2 linked regions of the Coturnix japonica genome follow. The protein of the gene in region 1 interacts with the protein of each later gene in a biochemical or structural test. Links are inferred from orthologs where the notes say so. Each region holds a gene or a part of one and is shown in the gene's direction. Other genes may lie near its edges.

Region 1 (11,726 bases):
TTGCTGGGCACCGCCAGCAGCTCTACCTGCTCTGTAATTCCCAGGGTGGGCCCTTTTATCCCCTTTACCCATTCGGTTCCCTCTGGCCTCCCTCCAGCCCCATGGAATTTCCCCAGGGTTTTTCAGCATTAAAAATTAACTGCATTAACTTGACATCCTGCAAGCCTGCTCCTGCAAGGGGCAGCCCTCCTCCAGCAACACCCTCAGCCTGGTGTGGGGAACGGCTCTTTGTTGGGGCTGTCAGGATGGGGCCCTCAATGCTGGCTGTGGGACAGGGCAATGGTGGGGATTTGCTCATGAAAATGCTGGTGGTGCTTTGGTTCTGATATGCATCATGGTGCTGCTGTGGCAGCAATAGTACAGGGCACCCTTACCCCAGAGGGAGCCAGGTTTGGAAAGCCAGCCCAATTTTCGCTATCATGGCTCTTCTGCTCCGGGTTTTAGCGAGGCACCTTTGCCCAGCACAGCTGCTGGGTCAGACCCTGCAGCACGGAGACACGGGTGGGCTCCAAGCATCCTTTGGCTGCCACTCGACGGCAGCAGAACGAGGCCGTGCTGCAAAACGAGCTGCACGTGGGCTGCGGAACCTCCCACTTGGGTATGGGTATGGGTACGGGTATGGGTATAGGTATGGTATGGGTATGGGTATGGGTATGGGTATGGGTATGGTATGGGTATGGGTATGGTATGGGTATGGTATGGGTATGGTATGGGTATGGTATGGGTATGGGTATGGGTATGGGTATGGTATGGGTATGGGTATGGGTGTGGATATGGGTATGGGTATGGATATGGGTATGGGTATGGGTACGGGTACGGGTACGGATACGGGTATGGGTATGGTATGGGTATGGGTATGGGTATGGGTACGGGTATGGGTATCGGTATGGTATGGGTATGGGTATGGGTATGGTATGGGTATGGGGGGGGGTCTTTTTTAATGGGGGGGGGTATGGGGTAGGTAATGGGTATGGGTAGTTGGGTATGTATGGGTATGGTATGGTATGGTAATGGTATGGGTATGGGTATGGGTATGTGTATGGGTACGGGTACGGGTATGTGTATGGGTATGGCTATGGCTATGGCTATGGCTATGGCTATGGCTATGGGTACGGGTACGGGTACGGGTATGGGTATGGGTATGGTACGGGTATGGGTATGGGTACGGGTACGGGTACGGGTACGGGTATGGGTATGGTATGGGTATGGGTATGGGTATGGGTATGGGTATGGGTATGGGCTGCGGGGCTGCGGGAGCCGCAGAGCGGAACTAAGCGAATCGCGGCTGCCACCTCCCGGTGCAGCGCATCACTCCGCGCTGCCGCTCCCTCACGTCCCCCCCAGGGCTCCGGGCTGCGGGTGGCGGTGCGGAGCTGCAGGAGCTCGGCAGAAGGAGCTCGGCTGTGGGCTGTTGTGGTCCCGCAGCATCGTGTCTGCAGGGAACCGGGCTGAAAGAAAAGAGCTCGGCACCATCTGTGCGCTCTGCTCGGTTTCGATCCCAATCGTCTCCTCTTCGCCTTCTTGTCTCCCCCTTCTCCCCCCCCCCAGCCTTTTTTTGGATCTCACGGGGTGCACGTGTGCAAGAAATGCCTCGGTCAAGGTCCAGCCCTGAGTGAGCACAGGGAATGCAGGAAGCAGCAAAACTGCCCAGGAAAGCCCAGCTCTGGGTACCGCTGTTTGGCAGCACCATGTGCCACCTCAGAGGCCACAGCGCTGCTCAGAGGTACCCGAGCAGGGAACAAGGTCCCAGTCATAGCATGAGCTGAGGATTTTGAAGCTGAGCTCACAGGGCCTCCCTCTGCTCACTGAGGAGGGACAAAGCACCCCCAAGTGCTTCTCACTTCCCTCTTGAGGGCTCACAGAGTGGAAACTGCAAGAGTCCCACTGCTATTTGCAGAGGCAGGTTTCCCCCACAAATTCCCAAGAGCTGCAGAGCTGCAGCTCCATGTTGGCTCCGTCACACTCACAATGCCAACATTGCTTTTTCCTCTACCACCAGCCCTGCAGGCGGGCAGCCCGTGGAGCACCGAGCTCATGGGCTGAGCCCGTCCTGACATGAGATGCTCCCAGCAGAGCCATCCCCTGTACGTTCTCTGCCATGAGCAATGAGCTCCATCCCACCAACACCAGCCCCACCAGCTCACGGCCCCACTCACACAGGGCAGGAGTTTCTGTGCTGAACGGAAAACCCTTGTTGCTGCCCCACTGATGTTTATGGAAAGTAGCAGGTATTGCTCCTTCCTCCCCCTCCAGCTGCTTCTGCGGAACCATCCCCCGGGCTGAGCTGAGTCACCGCTGTGTGCTGCAGTGCTGGGAGAGACTGACACAAATCAACACTCCACCAATAGAAAGAGGGGGAAAGAGCGGCTGTCCAGCCTGGTTTGCTTACTCTAAAGAGACCTAATGGAGTGTGGGGATACCCCCGGGTGTGGGCATCGCTCCTCCCCGCTGTGCCATCCTTCCTGCTCCCATCGCTGCTCCTTTCCTCTGCAAAACCTGGGAAAGCAACAACACGGTGCCAGCTGGACCAGCTCAGGGTGCTCGTTTTGCTCAGCAGAAGAACTTTAGAATCACAGAACATCCCGAGTCAGAGGGGACCCATATGGATTGTGGAGTTCAACCCCTCCTCCACGCAGCACCACTCAAACCCAGACCTGACGTCTGAGGGCAGTGCCCTGATGCCTCCTGAGCTCCAGCAGTGTGGGGCTGAGCCCACTGCCATGGGAGCTGCTCTATGCCCACCAACCTCTGGCACAGAGCTCCCCCCTTTATCCCCCACCCAGCCCTCCCCTGACACATCTCTGTGCCATTCCCTTGGATGGAAGAGCTCCCATGGAGATGGGCGATGCCAGGGACACAGAGCTGCACGGCCCATGGGACCTCTCCCTGCTGCGAGCACCAAGACATCTCCATCGTGTGCCTGGTGACGGTGCCTCCCTCCCATCCCTGAGCCCCCTGCAGATCAAGGAGCCAATACACTGCGCTGTGTGAGTGGCCAATTTGCATCGAAGGGATAAGGGGAAGCCCCAGGAAACACATGGCCCAGGCATTAATCAAATCGACCTCTAATTATAAACCTGCAGAGTAGCACACGGGGCTGGAGCTGGCAGCACGATGGCAGCAGCCAGGAGACAATAAGCACTGCAGGAGAGCTGAGTGTGAGTTACTGTGTGGGGCTGCTCGGGGTACGGGGCTGCGGGGCTGGGGGCTGCATCTGCAGGGGCTGGAAGGGAGCGGAGAGCACCGTGGGGCTGTGGGGATGGTTGGTGCTGCTGGAGTGGGTACGTGATGCTGTGGATGGAGGCTGGGTGCTGGGCTTTGGGTGGGTGCAGGGGATGCATGGCCTGGCTTTGCAGGACAGCGCTCAGCTCACCTCCATCCAGCTCCTGGGGGGTAAAAAGTCCTTAAAGTGCATTAGAGGAGAGAGCAGGCCTGAGCCAGGCTGTGCTGCAGGCATTGCTGTCAGCCGGCTCCATAGAAAGCAATTAGGTTCATAGCAATGTGAATGGAACAACTGGGACTACAGGGGCTGTATCGCACTGCAGAGACACAGACCTCTCCCGGAGCATGGGGCCATTTCTGTACTGAAGTCAAACCGTGTCTCCATGAAGGCAGCAGCCCCAGCCGAGGTACTGCACGGATTTCAGCGCCACGTGTCAGTGCCTCAAACATTTCAGCTCCCCATATCCTGGGCAGCCGACCCACAGGAAACAGCTGCGGCTCCGCACTGGGATGCGGGCACCCACATCAGCAAACGGCTGCTAAGAATGAAACCCTTACAGCGACAGCATCCTTTAAATATCAGCTGTCCGGGGCTGCTCAGGGCTCCCACCAAAGCCCCCCATCAGCATCACACCCCTTTGCTCACCCCAGCCCTGAGCTCAGCCACAGAGCAGGGAACAGCAGAAGAGCTCCCACTCTCGGGGCCCCCCATGTGCTGCTGAGAGCTGCCCCGAGGGACGCAGCTCCTTCTGCTGCTTAGGAAAATGAGACACATCAGAAGCGGGTTTCGATATGATGCTGACACACCAAAGTGAGATGTCAGAAATGACACAGGGCGGTAGGAGCAGCCCCGGGGGCCGCAGAGGAATTCAGAAGGTTCTAGACTTACAAACAGATCCAGCTGCTGGTACTGATGGCGCTGCGCGTGTCCCCCTGCACAGGTCCCAGCGTTGGGCGCACCAACCCCACACACGGTTCCCTCCCCTCCCAAAGCCATGGATGGGACGTGCCTGGGAAGAGCCGCCATGAACAACTGCACCAACCAGCAGTACTGGGACAGCCTCCTCTGCCTCTGCATCCCCTGCACCCTCATGTGCAGGAGCTCGGCCGAGCGGAGGTGCAAGGCGCTGTGCGGTGAGTGGGGCACCAAAATGCAACCCCAAAGCGCAGGGAAACACAGCAGTGGGGCTGTGGCAGCAGCTGGGTGCAGTGCAGCACGGAGTTGTTCGTGTCATCATGTGTTGGAGAGCTGGGAAGAGTGGAACCCCATGAGGTTCAACAAGGGCGAGTGTGGAGCCCTGTAAGCTGGGGAGGGATAACTGCACACATTGGTACAGGTTGGGGCTGAGCTGCTGGGAAGGGCCCTGCAAAGAGCTGAGTGTCTTCGTGGCCAGCAGGGTGACCAACAGCCAACTCCAGAGCTGGAGGCACAACGCCCCCAAACTCTGCCTACAGACCCACATGTGTGACCCCATCCCTCCCCAGTGGGCCATGGATGTGCTCAGAGCGAGCTCTGCTCCTCTCCTTCCCTTCCTGCAGAGTCTGCGGTCTGTAACAGGAGAGCTGGCTTCTACTATGACGAGCTGGTGAAGAAGTGCATCAACTGCAGCACAGTGTGTGGGCAGCACCCCAAGCAATGCGATGCCGCGTGTGGAGGTAAGATGGGGGATGAGGGGTGGGAGAGGTGTGAGTTTATGTTGATGCCCTCCGCTCTGTGCCCGTCTGCCCTCTGCTCTCTGCCTGCCCTGCAGGATCTCTGCTCTCCAGTCACTCCCCACCAGCCGCCCTGGTTTCAGCATCACCTCCCGCGGCTGCACTGGAGCAGAAGGTTTGTGTGGAGCAGGAGCCGTGGCTGGTGGTGTACCTGCTGCTGGGGCTCTGCCTCTGCGCCCTCGTCTGCTCCCTGGTGCTGGGCTGGACACACTTGCGGAGGAAGGGGGAGGTGGGCTCCTGCCAGGCCAGCACCGGGACCTGCCACTGCCGGGAGGACCCTGCCAAGGGTGAGTGAAGGGGGCAATGGGAGGGATGGGCAGCGGGGGGTGGCTGTCACCTGAAAGCAGAGCCTTCCTAGGGAGGGAACAGACCCAGCAATGGGTCACACGGCCTGGGAAGGAGCAGGACCTCGAGGATGTTGTGGCATTCAGCCTTTGCTTTTAAGGGCAGCCGAGAGGTGAAAAGGGATTTACCGCCTGCTTTTCAATACCCTGCGCTCAACCTTGATTGTCAGAGCTCAGATGAACAGAGCAGAGCCCTTTGCCAGTCCATGCAGCGCTGTGTGGCCCCCGAGCCAGCAGCCCCTGTGTGTTGTACAGCACTGCTGCATCAGCACATGGCGCAACAGGAGCACTTAGGGCAAAAACAACCCACGTGTAACGTTATCAGTGTTACAGCTGCTTTAGTCCTACACCTGCAGCTCCCCTGCTCGAGGCTCCTTCCCATTTACCCCTCTGCCCTTGGGGCAGCAGGACACATGTGGGTGATGCGTTTCAAGCACAGCAGCAGCGCATGTAATTACACAGTGCATTCCAGCACTGCCTCCTTGCAGGCTGTGGTGCAGCCCTGCGCTGTGTTTCTCGTCTCTGCAGATCACCTGGTGGAAGCTGGCAGTGTCGGTGAAGGATCCACGGGCAGCAAAGCCCCAGAGCCGGTGGAAACCTGCGGCTTCTGCTTCCCCGGCCACGGCTCCGCTGTGCAGGAGAGCAAACCGTGCCACAGCCCATCCTGCCACGCAGGGGAACGAGCTGCTGCCCCTCACGCTGGGATATGCAGCATGGGCAGCGCGGGGGCGATCCCCAGTAACAACGATGGCCACTTCAAAATCATCTGCTCCCCTTCACAAGAGAAGACGCCCACGGTGTGACTGCGGGAGCTCCTGCACCGGGCTGCAAAGGAGGGCTGCTCCCCAAGCACAGCTGATCACCCTCTGCCTCCAGCACCCAGGATGGATGGGCTGAGCACAGCCTCTGCTCGAGGGCTGCAGGCACAGACTGTTCTTTTCCACTCACCCAAACTCTCCGTTAGCAGCGGCTCCATCCTCCTGCTCAACCTCTGCAGGCACCTCCGTGTGCGCTGCTGGTTGGGGCTGACATCCCACAGGGGCTCCTCATCACAGCTCCTCCATCAGCATCGCTTGGCCTCTGCAGAGGGAACTGATGCAGCTTCACACACAGGAGCAGGGGAACTGTGCTGGGCACCGGCATCACTGCTGCAATGGGGCTCTGCTGTGCAAAACCATCCCGGGCTGAGAAGCCTCTGAAACACTTTGAGTTCTGCTGTGCTGCTGACAGAGCCGGGAATGATGATGCTTGAAAGCTGCTATGGAAAAACTGGGGGTTCAGTGCGTGGAACTTTAAGTTCTCACTAATGGAGAGTGCAGGGCTTCTGCTTGGCGTGGAATCACTCCCAAGAGGAGATTCAAGGCCTTGAGTTTGTTTCTCAGACCAGAGCTCAAGACTTGAAATAATACATGGGAGTGTCATCAGATGTGTGAATTGGGGATAGGAAAATAAACTGCTGGAGGAACCACGAGCAGATGCAGTCCTTCAGATGCAGTCCTTCCCCACCCTGCCATGCATTGCTTTCCTGCTGTCCCACCACCAAGGCAGGCAGCACCGGGCTGAGCACTGCACACACACAGCACCAGGGCCATGGGGAGCCCCTCAGAGCTGTAAGGAGCAGCAGGAGGCTGGAGGTGCAGTGACATCCCGTGCTTTATCTCATGGCTGGTGAGCAGGGCAAAGCTTTGAGGCCATCTCTGGGAACCAACACGGTGCTTCTCAGTCTCCTCTTTGAGGGTGGGATGAGCTCTGTGTGGTGCTGCATTTACAGCCCCAAACCCACCTCAGCCTCCCAGCAAGCCCTGCAGCCTCTGCTCTCGCTCAGCCTCAGCTCTGCCTCTACTCTTAACCATCCTCAATTCTTCCCTGGTTACCACCTCCCCCTCCCAGTCCTTCAGCCTTTTCTGCTCAAACTGAGCCATCTGTGCCCCAGAAAACAGGCAACGCACACACCCACAGCCAGGTCCTTCCTTCCAGCCCTGATAAGCTGGAGGGGAACATTCCTCACCATCAGACGTGGCCTCCCCACCTGGAAATATAAATAGAGTTATCAGCAAAGGTAACAGGGAGAAACTTGGTCAAATCCACAGTAAGAACATACAGAGGTTCCTACACAGAGCAGTTGGATGCTGGAGAACTGGGAGAAATCAATGGATCGCCATCACATTGGCAGCATCCCTCCATGGGCACTGTGAAGTGGGGCCAGCAGTCAAACACTGGCACCAAGTGGGAATTGCAGGCACAGACTCTGAGCCAGAGCATAACGTGGGGGTTGAAGGAGCTCCTCACATCGCTGCTTTTGCTCTGGGTTTCATTAGGTACCACCAGCACGAAGAGCTGCCCCTCTAGTAGCTGAGCAATGAGAAAGCATCCCAGTATTTGAGGCAAAGGCTGTTCAGGAGAGCCATAAGGATGGGTTGTGCTGCTTGTACAGCAGCGGCTGTTCTTCCATTTTGAACACTGCTTCCCCAGCAACCTGTGCTGATTTACTGCTGGAAGCAGGAGGGCACAATGCAAGGAGGGACTGGGGGAGAGGGAAGAGCATTTAACACAGAGCTGCTATTCTGAAACCAAAACAGAGCCCTGAAACCTCTCTCACTCCACATCTCCCACTGAAAGCCACCTGTGCTGGTGCAGGGCTTTCAGCAGCTGAGAGGTGGGGGGAGAGGGGAGTGGGGGCGATGGAAACCAGGCTGATTTCAATAGCTGGCCTTGTCCCTCCCTGCGCAGTCTGGTTCTAAAGGGGAAAGGAGAGATGCCCCTTGAGCCCCAGCACAACAGACTGAGCAGCGGTGATGCACAGCCGCGCGGTGGCACTGCTCCTCCGGCAGCGGGAGCAGGCGGGGATGCGGCTGCAGCCATGGGAATAATGAAGGGCTGCTCCTCGGCTCCCTCTGCAAGATCGCTGCATTATTAAAAGGCGGCAGAAAGCGTCACCGAGCATCTGCACGGCGCTGTGCCCAGCTCAGGGAGGGAGGGAAGGAGGGAAGGAGGGTGTTGCACCATTCAATCTGCATTTCTCCAGCCATTTTTCACTGGTTACATCTTGCAGCACCCGATTACAACCCGACGTTATTTCGAGCATGACGATCGGAGAGAGCCGGGTTACGAAACCAGCACACGCCATCGCTGCCGTAGCGATCAGTGCCGCGGTGCCTCCCACGCTGATGCTGTGCTGCTATTCACGGAGCTTCAATCAGCGGCTGCTTCTCCCTTCCCTCCTGCAAGCTGCCGCAGCAGAACCGAAGCAGCTCGTGCTGTCTGTGCGCAGTTCGGATGCAGTTCCACCATCCTGTTGTGTAGCTTCTCTGCCAGATGCTCATTGATAAAACAAAGTGGGCTTCACTGATTCTCATCCGATATCCTCCAGTGCTGCTCTGCAGCCCGCCCCTTGCAGCCCTCACATGCAGGTCAGGCACCCACAGCCATTTCTGGAGCGCCAGATCTAAAAGATGAAACACATCCAACGTTTATAACCACTGCGCTTCAGTCAAGCATGGGCTGCTTGGATACACGCACAGGGCTCAGGGCTGTTTTGGTGGGGCACTTACACCAACATAAGCAGCACATAACCCTCAGAACAGTTCTGTCTGGGCTCTGTAAGGAAAAGAGAGCAATGCTGGTTTTGCTCCTTTAAACTCTGTTCAGAATGGCTTCTCTCACGGGCTGCAATTCAAACCGCAGCCCGGCCTCCAGGGAGCAAGACAGAGCACAGCAGCAGTCACTGCTGCTATCCAGGAAGGCAAACGAGCCCCGCTGAACGGGGAGAGAAAAGGGAACAAAACCGTATTTGTGACAAAGCAAAAGCTGGTGCACCAGCTGCTGTGAGCCAAGGGCACAGACTGCAAAGAGAAGAGCACGCGAGGAGTTAACACATGTGGGAGGGCACAAGGAACCAATACCAGCCTAGCAAATACCAGCAAAACGTGTTGTTTACTTAAAAACCCAGTCAGTGCACTGCAGAAGTGCTCAATAGCAGCACATCCATCGCTCACTGCTGCCCCCCAGCAGCAACCGCTTCCAACAGATGGTACATTTGTCAATAGGGAGGTTCTTTCAAGCATCACACAGATAAACGCCTTTGGAAAGCAACGGGGAGGGGGAAAAAAACCAAACCCAACAGAACCAAAAATGTATCAATCAAACCCAGCAACAAAAACAAGAGATCTGGTGAAATTCAAGCATCCACAACATTAAAAAGAACAGTATCAACACGGCAATTCAGTCATTTTTACTGATGGTTGCAGTTATGAAGTTCATTCTCATGAAAAAACAACAACAACAACAACAACAAAAAAAAAAAAGGGAATAAAAGGAAAAAAAATATTAAGAAAATAGCTATTTATAGAAAAGAAAAGAAAACAAAAAGGGCTCAACCAGGACCGGATCTGTGCTGATGCTCTGGGTGAGCAGCCCGGTGGCATTGAGCGTTACCTGTGCACGCAGGCGTGCCTGGAAACCTGTCTGTACTGCAGCTTCAGTTCCACAAGTCAGGATTTCTTTTGTTGGTGGAAGGGGGGGGGCAATAAAAGAGCCTAATAGTTTCATACTGTATTTATTTAATAACTAAAATTCACAAATAAAAAGATACTCGCCAAGTCCTTTAGTTGTGTCATTCCCTCCTCCTCCACTCTACTGCTTTCAGATCCAGATGCATAAAAAAATGGGCTTGGATTTTATTTTATTTTTTTTTAATTTTTTTTTTTTTTTTTTAAATTTTAACTGTTATATGATTGGTCGTTGGAGCTGAAGCACCAATGGAGAAGATGCTTTATGGAGATGAGAATACACCCCCTTGCCTTCCCACACACGTTTTGGAGGAACATAGGAGATGTACCAGTGCCCGGACTCCTCTGCTCCCATTTCCCCCACCCAGAGCATTCCTTTCATTGTGTATTTCCTCTGATAAGTGACTGACTGCAGCCTCCTTTTTTCCCCTTTCTGTCCTTGCGGGACCGCATACACGTTGGACATTGTTCATTTCTCACTCTGCCAGGCTTGGAGCCAGTGTCAAGTAGGTCCTGTTACAGCTCAGTGCTAGTTGTTTTTTAATGGGTCTTTTTATTTCAGGTAGGTTTGTGTGTCGATTCAGAAGGCTTGCTTATTTTCTTCCTTGTTTATATCTGACAAGCTGCTGGATAAGGCTATTCATACTCCAGGAACTGTTTGTGATAGAACAGCAAATATCTGCAAGAAAGCAGAGGTACAGTTTCAGCTTTGAGCTACAAATCATAGCAGATCACCATTTCCATGGATGCAACTGTTAAAAATGAGAGCTATTCATGTTATTCTTTTCAAATCGAAGCAATTCCAGGGATATGCCAACTCCCCACAGGAGGAGGAGGGAAGGCAGCTGAGACAATCCCACCAGGGACTCAGGAAAGGGAACATTTGTCCATCAGTCAGACCCTCGTGCTGTGCACCTACTTAGAACCTAGAAGCTCTGGAAGATGGGACAGTGTTGATGCTCACCCATCTAACACATCACAGCACAACATATAACCGAGATGCTTCATGATACAATTGTTCCTTTAGAATCCCATAACCAGAGCATCAGACATTAGAATACCACAAACCGTCTGCCGTTTATCTGACAAACAGAAAGAGCCAGGCATGTGGGTGAAAACTCACGTGTCCCAACCAAACATGACTCACGTATGTCTCAATCTGTACTCAAATCTGGTGTTTTAGCAGGACAGAATTCTTCCTGTCCTTAATTACTGTACATGTACTGCTACAGAACAGAATCCAGCCCTCGGGCAGGCATGCTAGCAGGCAGCACACTGATCTCTGTGCTCATTTTGTACAACAGACACTGATGGGCTCACCACAAAACTCAGTTGAAATGCTTCAAAGCAATTTGTGGACTTTCCAATTAATACTGTTCTGTGTCCAGTCCCATGAAGCTTCCCTTGCACAGTGCAGGCCTACTCAGTATCAGCGCTCATCTAGACCAAGGAAAACGGATCAGAGACCAAACCAGCTCACAATGAGCCAGATGTGCAGTGGTTGTGTTGTAGATCCTGTTCTCACTGCTTATGGCAGCTCTCTCCAGAGTCATAGCCCATCCCAGCACAAAACTAGCCCCTCGTTATTCAATAAAGACAAACTTTCTTCTGCTGACCTCAAAGTGTAAGTCAGCATTAAATAATTTGACCAAAGCAAAATTCGGATATCACTGGAGCCTTTTTTTTTTTTTTTCTTCCCAGCTGAAGTTCAGAAAAGGAAAATAGGAAAATCTGCCTAAAAAATTGCAAGCTGAACATCTGTGCCTGCAGGAATTAACATAAACGTCATGAATAATTAAAACAAAACCTAAAGAGGCTCATCTTTCCTGTAGCAAACCCATGGTTGAAAATGCCAAAATAAAGACTTCACTTTCTAAGTTAACCTTATTTTTGAGATACACCCCAGTCCCCAGTGATTCCCTCTGATCATCAAATCACA
Region 2 (12,724 bases), on another chromosome or scaffold:
GGTATTTGCTTCTGAACTGTGAAATGCAGAGATAAGCTGTGGTTTGAGATGGGAAAAAGGTAAACTGATAAAACTGCCCTCATGTCCATTTCTCAGGTAAAATTAGAAATATAGCACAAATGCATCTAGTAGGCTATGGACAATCTCTCTGATGAAGGGCAAATGGCTTAGCTATTTATACAGAATATGCACATCAGCATCTCTTAGCTAATCATTTGTGTCACCTTGAATGTTCTTAGTAAAGTATACAAGACTGAATACCAAGGTATGGTCTCCTATTAGCAAAAAGATGCAGACATACCTCCATTTGTATTCCATAATTTAATTCTTGAGAAGTGTATTTTTATTTTGTTAACAACAAATGGTTTTCCTAAGGGTACATCTGCCAAATACAAAAGCAGTGCCTCCTGCACTGGTGGGACCAGCCTGGTGTGTCCCACTGAGAATAATTTACGATGCCATCCCGCTTGTATAATTTAGAGTAGAATCCTGCAGAAGTGTAGATAGAGAAAGCATATTCAAGCTCTAAATGACACTCATGTTTTGAATTCAGGAATAGTTATTGAATAAATGATTCAAGCTCTCTATTTGATTTTTCTTTAGTGTATAGTTAATGGAAAAATGTCTTATTAAAGTCTTAAGTTTTGTAGACGAAGCATAAATGTTATTGTATATGTGCTAATTGTGGCAGAGTTTTACATTCTCATTCTAGTCTGGTTTTTACAATAAAATTAATTTTACAAAAACCACTTTTCTATTTTTATGTACTGACATATGCAATAAATTGATACATTAAAAGTGCTGTTGACATTTTGTTCTGGTTTGTGACCTGTCTTCAGTATGAGTACAGGGTAATTTTGTATGCCTGGTCAGGGTATCATTTTCAGTTACCAACAAAACAAACCAGAGCACATGAAATTGTCATCTATGTTGTTGGGGATGGTATTTATGGCAAGTTATTACAGCTTGGGGGGGGGTGGGGGGGGGGGGTAAGCTAAATTAACTCTCTGTTTCTAATCTTTGTCACATTCTTGCTTTCACAAAGCATCAGTAAGAAAAACTGGTGGTATCCCTCCATGGCTTTCTATCACCTCCTGCCTCTTAGGACTTCTCTTTTTATCTTTAGAACTGAGAGTTGGTCTGAACATGTCACCCGGAAATTATTTTTTCATTGTGTTTCTGGCTGATTTTACCACTAATTTCTGTTAATATTTTAAATGTCAATTTTAAATCTAAATACTGAACCATTGGCTCCTAAGGTCATGAAAGTGCCTGAGCATTAAGTCCCGTGTTGGGTCCTTTTCAGGGTCTTAGTTTTAGACTTTATAGAGTTCTCTTTCTGTAAGTAGATAAAAAAATAAACTGAATATTTTCTGGAAGTGTGCTGAAAACATTAGTGTGATTCATTTGTTATGGTTCCACTTGAGTGGGGACAGAATAACTCTTCTCTGTCTTGAAGAATGGCAGTTTTCCTTTCTCTGAAAATTACACAGAGTAAGAGCGGTCTTGTTTTTAATGCATTACAGAGCTTGGTTTCACTCATAATAGTGTCAAATATATCCATCTTAAGTGATGAGCTGAATAATGCTGTGCTGCAAAGGCACAGTAACTGCATTCGTAGCCCAAGTTCCAGAGAGATGTTGCTGCTAGCTTTGACAAGCAGCTATGAAGCAGATTTTGCTGCATGAAGATGGAAAGAAAGGAAGTTCTACAGCTGTTCTGCATTATGCTTACGTCTGGTGTGGGGTAATTATTTACAAGAAGGCAAAGTAAAAGGTCAGGTTGAATAATGTCCCTTTCAGTCCTTGAGGATTCAGGAACAGTGTAGCAAATAGATGCAGCTATGGAGAAATATCACTACAATTTGAAAATATTTGGATTCCCATCCCATGTCCTCTATTAAAGGTCCACAGACTCCATCAGCAGAAGAGCAGCCATTCCCATGTGAAGGGCCATGGTTCTTTGTTTACTTTGCTGCCATACAGATGCATTTTTTTTTATCCCATCTGTGTAAAATCTGTCAAGTTGCATAGTGTCAAAGAGGTGGAGATAGATTCCTGTGCTGCTGGTTACCCAAACCAGTGAGGCTACGAGACAAGTGAGCTACAGCTGTACAACAGAGCTCCTTTTGCTCCGTGCAGTAAGAAAGAATTACTATAGCGTCAGGGGGGGAGTGGGTGAGGAGGAGTTAAGTTGCTGTAGTATGTAATTGTGTGTGGTTGGTTGGTTTTGCTTTTGAAATTATATATTTGATTTGATTGTATTATTTGTTCTGTTGCATACTTTGAGAGACACCTATAAGAATTGCTTTTCTTTCCTGTGACATTTCCTACCCTCTTTGAAATCACTGTAATAACCATGTAAACAGTAACGATGGTTGCAAATCAGTTGTATATTTGCTTTCTGTAGTGTATGTGCCAGATTTGGATCAAAATTGTATGGATGTGTAGAAAAATAGTCTTAGATGAGGCATAAATCAAGTACGGCACATTTGAAATGTATGGAGATACTTGTATTGTCCTAGGAGGCAAAGACAAAAGAATATTCTTATTTCAGTAAGTTATCTCATGGTTGTGGTTTTTTTTTTTTTTTCTTGTAACCAGTTAATAGATAAGATTTAAAATGTTTGCATACCACATCCTCTACTTGTAATGTATTCAGTAGTTTTCTAAACTTTAATAGAGTGTAAATACTCAGCCACATGTAAATCCTGGCTAATAGCTGAAGGAACTTAGTAAGTGTCCTTGAAAAGAACGTGTTCTGTTTCAGACTGCTCTCTATGGATGATCTTAATGCAGATAACTGTAGCCATCCTACAGGATTAATTCTAACCTTCTCCACAATAGTTTGACCTTTTTCTCCATCATTAGAAAGGACTTGAAACGCATAAGCTTTGCTTATTCTGTGCTCTGTATGCTCAGTGCTGTCTTCCGTAATATGGCAAGTACCGCAGCTGGTCTCTTTTTGCGCTAGCCACAGGGACCAGTTCCATTTTGTGTCTATTTCAGAAGTATATTGGACCTTCGCCACTGGAAATGTACTCTTAATATGATTGTTGATATTGGCTGGGTCTCTATGTTGTATCTGTACAACCTCCCTCTTAAAAACAGAGCATTTGTTTTTAAGTAAATTACATTTCTTCAATGACGTTTTTTCTTTTCTTTTTTTCTTTTTTCTTCAATCCAGGTCTTCTTATTCAAACCATCTGCTTCTCTTTTTAACATTAAACTTCATTATCAGATTTTCCTCCCCCTCAAAGCAGAAGATGCTTTTTGTGGTTAAAGTACAGTGCTGGATTTCAGGAAATCAAGGGTTCAGTTTCTGGTTCAACCACAAATTTCCTGTGTGATTGCTCGCTATCTCTGCTTTGGTTCCCCACAGATGTAGAGATGATGTTTTACACATTTTCAGGTTAGCAGGGCCCATCTTGACCTTTTAATCAGATATCCCGTGTAACGGAAAAGAACGAATCAAGCTGCTTGCAGAAATTACAGAGCTTGTTTCAGCTGTAATATCTCAGAAGTCTAACCAGTCTTCATTTTGTTAAAGATCCCACCCAGCAAAGATCCCCCAGCAAGAAGATCCCCTTCAGTGGTAATGTTTTGGGGTTTTTTAATGCTGTTTTTTTCCCCTCCTTAGTTTAACTTGAGCTCTCACATCTCGTAGTGGGAAGTCCTAACCTGAGCACCCCGCTTTAGTATTACCGTGACTTAAGGAGCTAAAGAAACTGTGCCTCATACTTGCCTTAAAGCAAAGCCAGTAAGCTTAACAGAACCAAGGCACCACCTGCCCCTGAAATCCATGTGCTAGGCCCTGAAGCCAGCATGCTTGTTTGTTTTCTAAACCCAGCTTTCTGAGATGTTGTTTTGATGTCTTTCAAGGTCTAAAATACTGAAGCTTTGCTTTACTGCGATAAGATGTTAAGTTGTACAACTACGTAAATATATAGGTAGTTTGTACTTCTTTTTCCCCCATGACTGATCTCTCGCTGTCATTATTTATTGTTCTTCTACGTTTCTGGCACTGCAAAATTCATCAACAATTGTATTTTCCTTTTAATCACTTAAAAGCTTGTGAAACTGTGGAACAGCCCGCTGTCAAAACCAGACTGACCCCTTTGACACTTGAATAGAAACACCTGTTGAATTAAGAATTTGCCAAGTGTGGCTTGTTCTGATTTTCTTCCTCTCCCCTTTGAAGCTCTCATCTGCCAGAACAATGAGCAAGCCAGAGCCAGACGTCTTACAGAAGACCTCTTTGTCACTGCAATTCTCTTGTCAGCCCAAATAGTGAACCCCTTTAAAGATGTGGGAGTTGGAAACAGCCTTATTTTCTGTACAAGTAACGAGACTGATGCTAATTATATCTATCAGATATTTTCTTGTATGTTAATGACCAAAGAGACCTCACTAGCCACTTTTTCCCCAGTATTCCTGGACAACAAGTTGTGACTTTCATCTTCTCACTTTGTTTCATTTTCTTATATAGTGTGCTTTTTCTGGCTGTCATATTATATTTGGAACACAGTAATAGAATGGTAACATTCTGATGTCCAGTGATACCTCAAGGCACATCTGTTCAGTTCTATTAACCACATATTATGTGCCCAAAACCTACCTTAATACCTATTAAATTTCCTTCAAAATGTAGTCCCATTTATACCTCAGCCTTGAAAACAGATACAGACAGGGTGTATTATGGTATTCTGCTCTCAGTCCACTGTATACCTATTTCTGTATCACTTTTCAAGGTATGTAGGCACCTTTTAGAGGCATGTTAAGATATGTTGTATGCATTTCTTTTTTCCTCTCCTTTTAGGAAAATAATGACTTGTCCATGCAGGATATTGAATAACTGTTAGAGGTGGCAAAGCAAGGAAAAGAGTAACTTGGATTGCAATGGGAGTTGATAAAGCTTTTAATGACACCAGTTTCCCACAGTCTTAAGAAACAGATGTAGGAGAGACTACACAATTTTTTTTTTTTTTGCTTTATTTCTGCTCCTTCTTTCTCCTTCCCAACAGTATCAGCTTGATCTGGACTGTTCTAACAGGTAGCATCAGAAGATGTAACTCACTTGCACAGTATTTGAACAGACCTTTAGAAACTCTCTCTCATGCAGTTAAAGTTTACTTATGTGGCCAAAAATGGTAGTTTTCAGTGGGGGGTGACCTGTTCATTTTAGACCTGATTCTTCTTTCCCCTCTCTTATTCCTTCCTACTTTCTAGTTTTCTCATTTTCCCTTCCCTTTTAGGTCTCTTCTCCCTCGCTCTTTAGGTCCTTGAATTCTCCAGTGGGGTCTCATTTATCTGATAAGTTTGATTATAAGTCATCCCTTCCAAGTGCACTAGGAACCGAACTGCAGACTCTGCCACTTCACAAGTTTGAGAGACCAGTCATTTTTTATTCATACGTGAGAATATTTCTCACCATCGTATTTAGGAAAACACAAAAATTGGTATTTCAATAAGCTGCCACTTCTGCAGGCGTACAGTCACTTCAGATATGTTTACATATATATATATATCATATTACATACATGTATACATATTCTTACAGGCACACATAATGTCATATGCTTGTCTCTTTTAAGCAGAGCTCAGATTTATGTTGCAAGGAAACCTTATGTTGTTTCTGCACTTCTAGATAAGGTTTTAAATACCCATGGTACTGGTCATGCCTAAATTTAAAGATAATGGGAAATGGTGAAAGCAAGTTGCCACAAAAATAAATAGCTGAAAATGAAAGGAGAAAGGCAGACTGAACAAGCAGCTCAACAGAAAGTACTCATTGCCAGAATGCAGCGCAGAAAGGACAAAGCTAAACGGAGACTGCATCAGATGTTCACTCTGTACATTAGGTTTAATGGTTGTATCAACGGCTTCATATGACAGGAAATGATCTGGGCGTTTTGTTCACTTATTCTGGATGCCCTTAGTTTCACAGAGCAACGGGTAACATGGATTGCACCTCGGAAGGGGACAGCTGAACTCTCCCTCTGGCTTTAGTGAGGAAAGAGCAGCGATGAAATCCGTGGACTGTGTGCACGTCATCCAGCAGAAGGATACCGCCTCCTCTCCCTCTGGCCCCCCCGGTGCTGCTTCAGGCACCACGGGACTTTTTTCTGTCACATTCCTGTGGCTTGCAATGCTCCTGTCCTCTTGTCTTGCAGCAGTGTCTCTTTACCACGCTATCACCCTGAAAACAGAGCTAGAAGCTCTGCGCAGTGAGCTGATCTACAGGGTCCGGGCAAGGTCTCCGCTAGAGCAGCCACCCGTGTCCCCTGGCGACAAGAAAGCAGGTGCCCCTGTTTCTTCCTTCCTGCAAGTGTCTGCAGCTGGCGCCAGGCAGGTAAGCGTGCTTGATGGCTGCAGGGGATGAACCTGCAGGAGATGGGCTGCTCACACTGACTGCTGTCTGTCCCTGCTAGGAGAACAGGCTGCCTGGCCCTTACCCAGCTGAAAGTTTCCAAAAGGAAATCTGGGACGGGAGCAGAAATAGGGGGAGAAGGTCTGTTGTCCACACAGAAGAAACAGGTAAATAGCACTGTGCGGAGTGGGATGGGATGCTGCTGCTGGTTGCTTTCTGGAGACAAGCAACAATGCTTAGCTCCTGTCTCTTCTTGTAAGCTGAGTACTGCTCCCAAAGCTTATTATAATTATAGAATTATAAGTAGTAAGTATTAAATGATGCTGTGAACTGCATTTGCTTTGCTGATTACCATACTGCTTAAGGTACCAGATATTCCTGCTGTCTGCAGGTTGAATTGAACATTGGTTCCCTGTCCTTGTGACTAAAGTATTTCTCAGTGATCAGCAGTAGAGTTGTGTATGGCAACTTGAGTTTTTTCATGTTGGAAGTTGCTTGACTCTAAATCCATCATTCTCAGCTCAGGGTAATGCTTATCTTGTTTCTCTCTGGTGAATATTAAAAAAGGAAAGCTATTATTAAAAATTGTCAAGTCATTTTTCTGGGAAAACATATTCATCCTAAAAGAGAGAAGTAGCAACAGAGCTCCTTGACTTTAGGGAAGTAGGAGCTTTCAAAGAGAAAGGCTAGCTTATACCTGTCTGAAAAGGCAGGCTACAAAGAATTCAGAAGATTAGAATTTTCTTTGCATAAAACCATCTATTAATATAATTAGCAAAGCTAAGAAAGGCATGCCTATGCAAAAAGGCTATTGCTGTGGCAAGTTTAAAAGGTACTGTATCAAATATCGAATAGTGTGCTCGATAGAGCACCTCTGACGTGTGTTATAATGTTGATATGTTTAATGGGATACGATTATCTTCTTCAGGAATACAATTCCTACTTTTTTTGTTTGTGGTGTGTTTTTTTGCCTTTCCAAATACACTGATATATGATAAAATGAGATACTGAATTTAAACATAACAGTTTGCATACTCTGATTACACTGAGCATTGGTAAAAATCTTCCTGAGTTGATAAATCAGTTCAGTCTCCTTAGATACTTTTTTGACCGATGGAAGCTGATATCTTGAATTACCATTAAGGTAAAATGAAATGATTTGTAGCTAAAGACTAAATCAGAGTTTGCTTAAAATGTATCTTTGATTAATTAATGTGAAATGCATTTCAGCTAGGATTCAGAGAGCTAACTGAAATTTAAGTTCTATAGCACGATCACTCTATTTACATCTCAGAAGAGAATATTCATTTAGGATGTGACCCAATGGGCTTAAGTGCAATCCATAGGCTTAAGTGCAATTTATTCTTTTCTGTTAGAAATCATTCGTTCAGGGTCTTGGTTAACAGTGATTTCACAAATGAGACTGAAGACAAGACTACTTCAGTCATTTCACCTGAAGCTTGTTTATTGTAGTAGTAGCAGAGCTTCCCTCTGTTCTCCCCCCCATTCTAATGTCTCCCAGATAAAAACAAGTGATCTTTTATACCTAAATCACAACTCCCACCAAACATAAGGATGACTATCTTCTTCTAAATGAACATTACAGACATCAGCACTCTGCAACTTATTCAGTTCCCTTCACAGTAGCTTTCATCTTTATTTTTACTGTATTTGAGAGCGCACGGGGGAGAGGACAGTATTGGGCTCTTCAGCTGTCCTCCTGGCAGGCTTAAAATGCTTCTCCCCAGGCAGCCACCTCTGAATATATCCATATATCTTTCTTCACCTGAACTTCTAATTATGCTTTCAAATTAGTGTATACGGATAACAGCACAGAATATGAATGTTTATTTGAAAGGGAAAACCTGTATAGGCTGATCTACAAAACTGTTTCCTAACACAATTATCCACTTATCTTACTTTGTATACAAACAAAAGGAAAAGAATTATATTACAAATCTTCCACTTACATAGCAGTGGCCATAAGTAATAATTTTAATTAAAATGACAATTGAACAAAAGTAGGTCCAGTGCAGTGCTGTTCTTTCATATTTTTATAGGATAGATGTTAGCCGGTGTTCATATATAAAAGTTATAGCTATCAGTATCTGTACATTTTGTGTTCTGAGAAAATTTCCAGCACAAATATGTTGAAGAAATGGGTTTTGAGCATTAGTTCCAAATAAAGCTACATAATTAGCAGCCAGAACAAGAGTTTTTGATACAACGAGTGGGAGGTACTGGGGAGTTTTATTAATGTGCAGACAGATAGATCACCTAACCACTTCTAGCAGATGTCATATCAGGACAGTTAGGAACAGAGATACTTTTTTGCCTGTCTTTTACTAAATTTTGCCTGTAGAGGAAAGCTGAAACAGAAATCCATCCTGTTATCCTTGTCACAATTACTGATTGTATTGCCAGCATGCTGCTCTCTGAGAAGTTTAAGTTCTTCTGTCCAGGATCAAGATAGAGGTCTCATTACACAAGGCAGTTCAGAGTACAGAGTTTAATTTGCACACCCTCTAGGTGTCTAGCTCTGATCATTACTGCGTGTTCTGATTCCTGTGGTCAGCTAGGACAGTAAGCACCAGGTCTTCTGAAAACTTAAAATCCTAATTTGATCAGATCAGGGCACCTGTGGTTGCTTCCTTCAGGATATTGAGGTTATCCATTTCAAACTGTATGACTGTGTATACGGAAGGAACTGAAGAGAAATCCAAAGTCCACAAAGTAATGAAACAGGACAAGCCCGCATTGTGACTCGGTAATTTTTCACTAGCAGTTCTCAAGTTCTTCTGCCATGTCAGTTGCATTCACACAAAACGACTATAGAGTATAAGTTGTGAGAAGGCATCATCTTTGCCACTGTTCTTGGTACAATTGCCTTATGTCAAACTGGTATATTTCCATCCACAGAGTGGTACATTTTCTACTTAGAACCAGTTTGACTCTGTGTTGTTGTTTTATAGAATCATGGAATCACAGAATGATTTAGGTTGGAAAAGACCTGAAAGCCCACCCAATTCCAACCCCCCTCCTTTGGCAGGGACATCTCCCACCAGTCTGCCCAGGGCTCCATCTGACCTGGCCTTGAAGGCCTCCAGTGACATGACAGGTCTCCATGACAGAGGGATGGCATGAACTTTTACAAGTGGAACTTGATTTCAGAGATCTTTCAGTCAGAAAAGCAAACATTTTTTTGCTAGTTTCAAAAAAAAAACAAAAACAAACAAACACTGCGTGAAATTCCCTCACCAAATACTCAAATTACTTCTTATTTTGCTGTTTGAAGAGGGAAACACAAGGGTTCTCTTTTCATTTTTTAATATGCATATTTTTAAAAGCTTACTTCTTGAAAGATGTTATTCCCTTTAGTTTCTGCTGACAACAGGCCGTCTCTAACAGAAGTACGCCCTTCACTGTGAAAGGATAGAAAATGACTTCACTCACTGCTTGCAGTTTTACTTGAAGGATTCCATCTCCTGAATGAATGAATCAGTGCTATGTATTATGCAGACTACTGTGCAATCTAAAGCACACAGAATACTTTGTACTGCATTTCAGAAATCTACATAAACTGTTCTTAAATGTTAGTAAATTATTCCGTACTACACTGATACTAACACATTACTGGTGATTCCACTGAAGATCAAAATAATGATACCAATACTTCAAAGACCTTTGTTAGACCTGTTACTGGGGCCAAGCAATTTTTATGCAGGGATTAACTGAATCCATGTTTAATGACACAAAAAGACTTATTAATAAAAAAGTAACAAAGAAACTAGTCTATAAACCTGCACAAGCAAAAAGAAAAGGAAGATATCTAATTATAAGAAATAAATAACTTAAGGGAAGAAAAGCTGCACATCATCCAAGAACATGCATATCATTTATAAATTAAATTATCTAGTATTCAAGCAGGTTTCAGGAAGTCTACAGAGAACAGACCATGACCATTGAAGGAACCAAAGCAAGCAGGTCTATTTTTAAAGTTCAGATTATTTATTTATTTATTTGAATTATCAGGCCTCAGATACTGAAGCTTAAAAATTTATGTGCAAGTTTGCATATTAACCAACTTGCCATTTTCTTTGGATGGATTATGAAGTTAGATTGCAAGGTATTAAAAAGGTTATGGAAGTTAAATGATTCAAAAACTTACATGGCAGGAAGGATTTGTCCTTATGGATAATCATGTCTTAAATTATGTAGATATGCAGAAAGCTCAGTTTTTTATCCTTCTACATATGCTAGTTCATTTTTGTTTTTTCCAGAGCTGTGGTTACATTGCTCAGATGGTGGAGAACACAGCCCTTCATATGCTAGGTGTGGTTCATAAGGGCATCTGGAGGCATTAACTTCTTCAGAATTGGTCGTTTTGTTCATGGAAGAAGATTCTGAAATGTTTTACTCCCACCCACACACCGCAGTACAGTTTACATCACAAGAAAAGAATTCTCATCAAAGCAAAACTTCTGTCTGAAATCAAAAGAGGTCAGGGCACGCCGACCTCCTGCTATTCTAGGTACATGTTGTTTTGTACAGTGAGTCCTCCAAGTGATGCTCATTTTAGATATCTTTATGCATTTTTAAGAAGCATTTTACTAATTATGTTTCTGCTTACATTATTCAGTGTCCCCAAATACTTTAGACTACAAAACTTGTGTTCAGGTTTGATCTACACTGAACTGAAGGACTTTGAGGTCAAGCTTTTCATTTACTCAGCTCTGAAGTGATAGTAAATATTCAAGTCATATTTGGTGAAATATGTATTTTTTATATTGTACTTCAGGTAAGATCTGTGTCTTTCACATTTTAACATTTCTTAACAACATCAGTATTTTGACTCAAAATTCCTATTTGCTTTCACCAGAAAATAAACTTGGTATATCCATGTTTTCTGTTTAATAAGTGGTAAATGGGTTTGCTTTGAATTTGTTTCAATGAATCATTTAACTTTAAGCACATGTAACCACTGAGTTCAAAGTGAAGTATTTGTATCTGTGATTGGAAATAGTTATATGTTAGTAGTGGCTTATAAGCGATTGTTTACAAAGCATGTTGCTGTTCAATATAGTTTCAAGGAAATTACACTTCCTTTCTGTGGCTATAGATAAAATGATCACTGTGCTGGTTTCTGTTTTCTTTATTATCACAAATGACATTTCCATACCCATATTTCTTCCTGACAGCTAAATTTACTTTATTCTGTTGAACCTTGAAGACTGTGGATTCTGTATATACTAACTGAAAAGATGCTTTTTTTGCTGGGGGATTATATGTAGATTTGATGCCATAGAATATCCTGAGCAGAAGGAGAGACACAAAGATCATAGACTCCCAGCTCCACACAGGAGCACTCAACATTCAAACCCAGCATCTGAGGGCACTGTTCAAATGCCCCTTGAACTCCAGCACTCAGGGCCATGCCCACAGCCCTGTGCAGCCCATTCCATGCCCACCACCCTCTGTTGGAGACCCATTCCCTGACCCCCAGCTGCCCCTCCCAGCTCCATGAGGTTCCCTCAGGCCCTGTCACTGTCACCAGAGAAGACCATCAGATCTGTGCAGAATAACTTTTAAGTGTTTTAAAATATATGAGTAAGTTCTCACTCTGCACGGAACTTGCTGGTTTCAATTACTGCATGGCAGTTTTCAGGAAAGATGACAAGTATCTCAGTGCTGCAATTAAATAAACACAAATCAAGATTACGAATCTTATTTACTCTCTTGTTTGATTATTGGAAATTCCAGTGGCAGCACTGATGAGTTCCCTTGAAAACAGAAATGAAAATTTTGATCTGGATTGCTGAAATAGTAGGGAACCTGCACATTAGCTTTATTAGGAAGGCACTTTGTTCCAAGGGGGAGTAAATGAATACCTTGTGAAATAAATTGCTTGATGTGCTTTGTTGTGCAATTCCAGAAGATCGTATTTTGTTTTTGTTTGGAAGCTTCTCTTTCAGAACATTTTGTCACAACTGAGATCTAAAAAAATTAATGAAGTCTTTTTGTTGTTGTTGTTGTTGTTGACTTAGTTTCTTTTTCTTGTTAAAAGGCAGGGAATCCCTGGAGGCATTCAAGGCCAGGCTGGATGTGGCTCTGGGCAGCCTGGTCTGGTGGTTGGCAATCCTGCCCACAGCAGGGGGGTTGAAACTAGTTGATCATTATGATCCTTTTCAACCCAGGCAATTCTATGCTTCTGTAAATGTAGGTACCTTTAAATTACTGTTTTGAAAATCCACAGAGTTTTTTGGCATCTTATACAAAGCACTGACTGATTTCCAGGATGGGAGTTTGCAGGATAGTCCTCCTGTTAATGACAGTAGGGCTCAGTCAAGAGTTCTTT

What was found.
Region 2: the proteins of TNFRSF13B (region 1) and TNFSF13B form a complex in vitro, tested with the Homo sapiens proteins (3 studies listed by BioGRID and IntAct, with this or other methods). The link is inferred for Coturnix japonica from reciprocal best matches to the Homo sapiens genes TNFRSF13B and TNFSF13B.

Annotation. Positions count from the first base shown.
Region 1 is NC_029529.1:4,679,763-4,691,488, reverse strand, and holds TNFRSF13B (tumor necrosis factor receptor superfamily member 13B), read left to right. Parts: upstream 1-1,284; 5' UTR 1,285-3,158; intron 3,159-4,163; 5' UTR 4,164-4,217; coding exon 4,218-4,356; intron 4,357-4,761; coding exon 4,762-4,878; intron 4,879-4,973; coding exon 4,974-5,222; intron 5,223-5,807; coding exon 5,808-6,082; 3' UTR 6,083-6,751; downstream 6,752-11,726. Other genes in the region: USP22 (ubiquitin carboxyl-terminal hydrolase 22), read right to left, coding at 10,424-10,466. UniProt on the Homo sapiens protein: Receptor for TNFSF13/APRIL and TNFSF13B/TALL1/BAFF/BLYS that binds both ligands with similar high affinity. Mediates calcineurin-dependent activation of NF-AT, as well as activation of NF-kappa-B and AP-1.
Region 2 is NC_029516.1:126,179,364-126,192,087, reverse strand, and holds the start of TNFSF13B (tumor necrosis factor ligand superfamily member 13B), read left to right. Parts: upstream 1-5,673; 5' UTR 5,674-6,024; coding exon 6,025-6,351; intron 6,352-6,430; coding exon 6,431-6,536; intron 6,537-9,721; exon of another isoform or gene 9,722-10,848; intron 10,849-12,724. UniProt on the Homo sapiens protein: Cytokine that binds to TNFRSF13B/TACI and TNFRSF17/BCMA. TNFSF13/APRIL binds to the same 2 receptors. Together, they form a 2 ligands -2 receptors pathway involved in the stimulation of B- and T-cell function and the regulation of humoral immunity.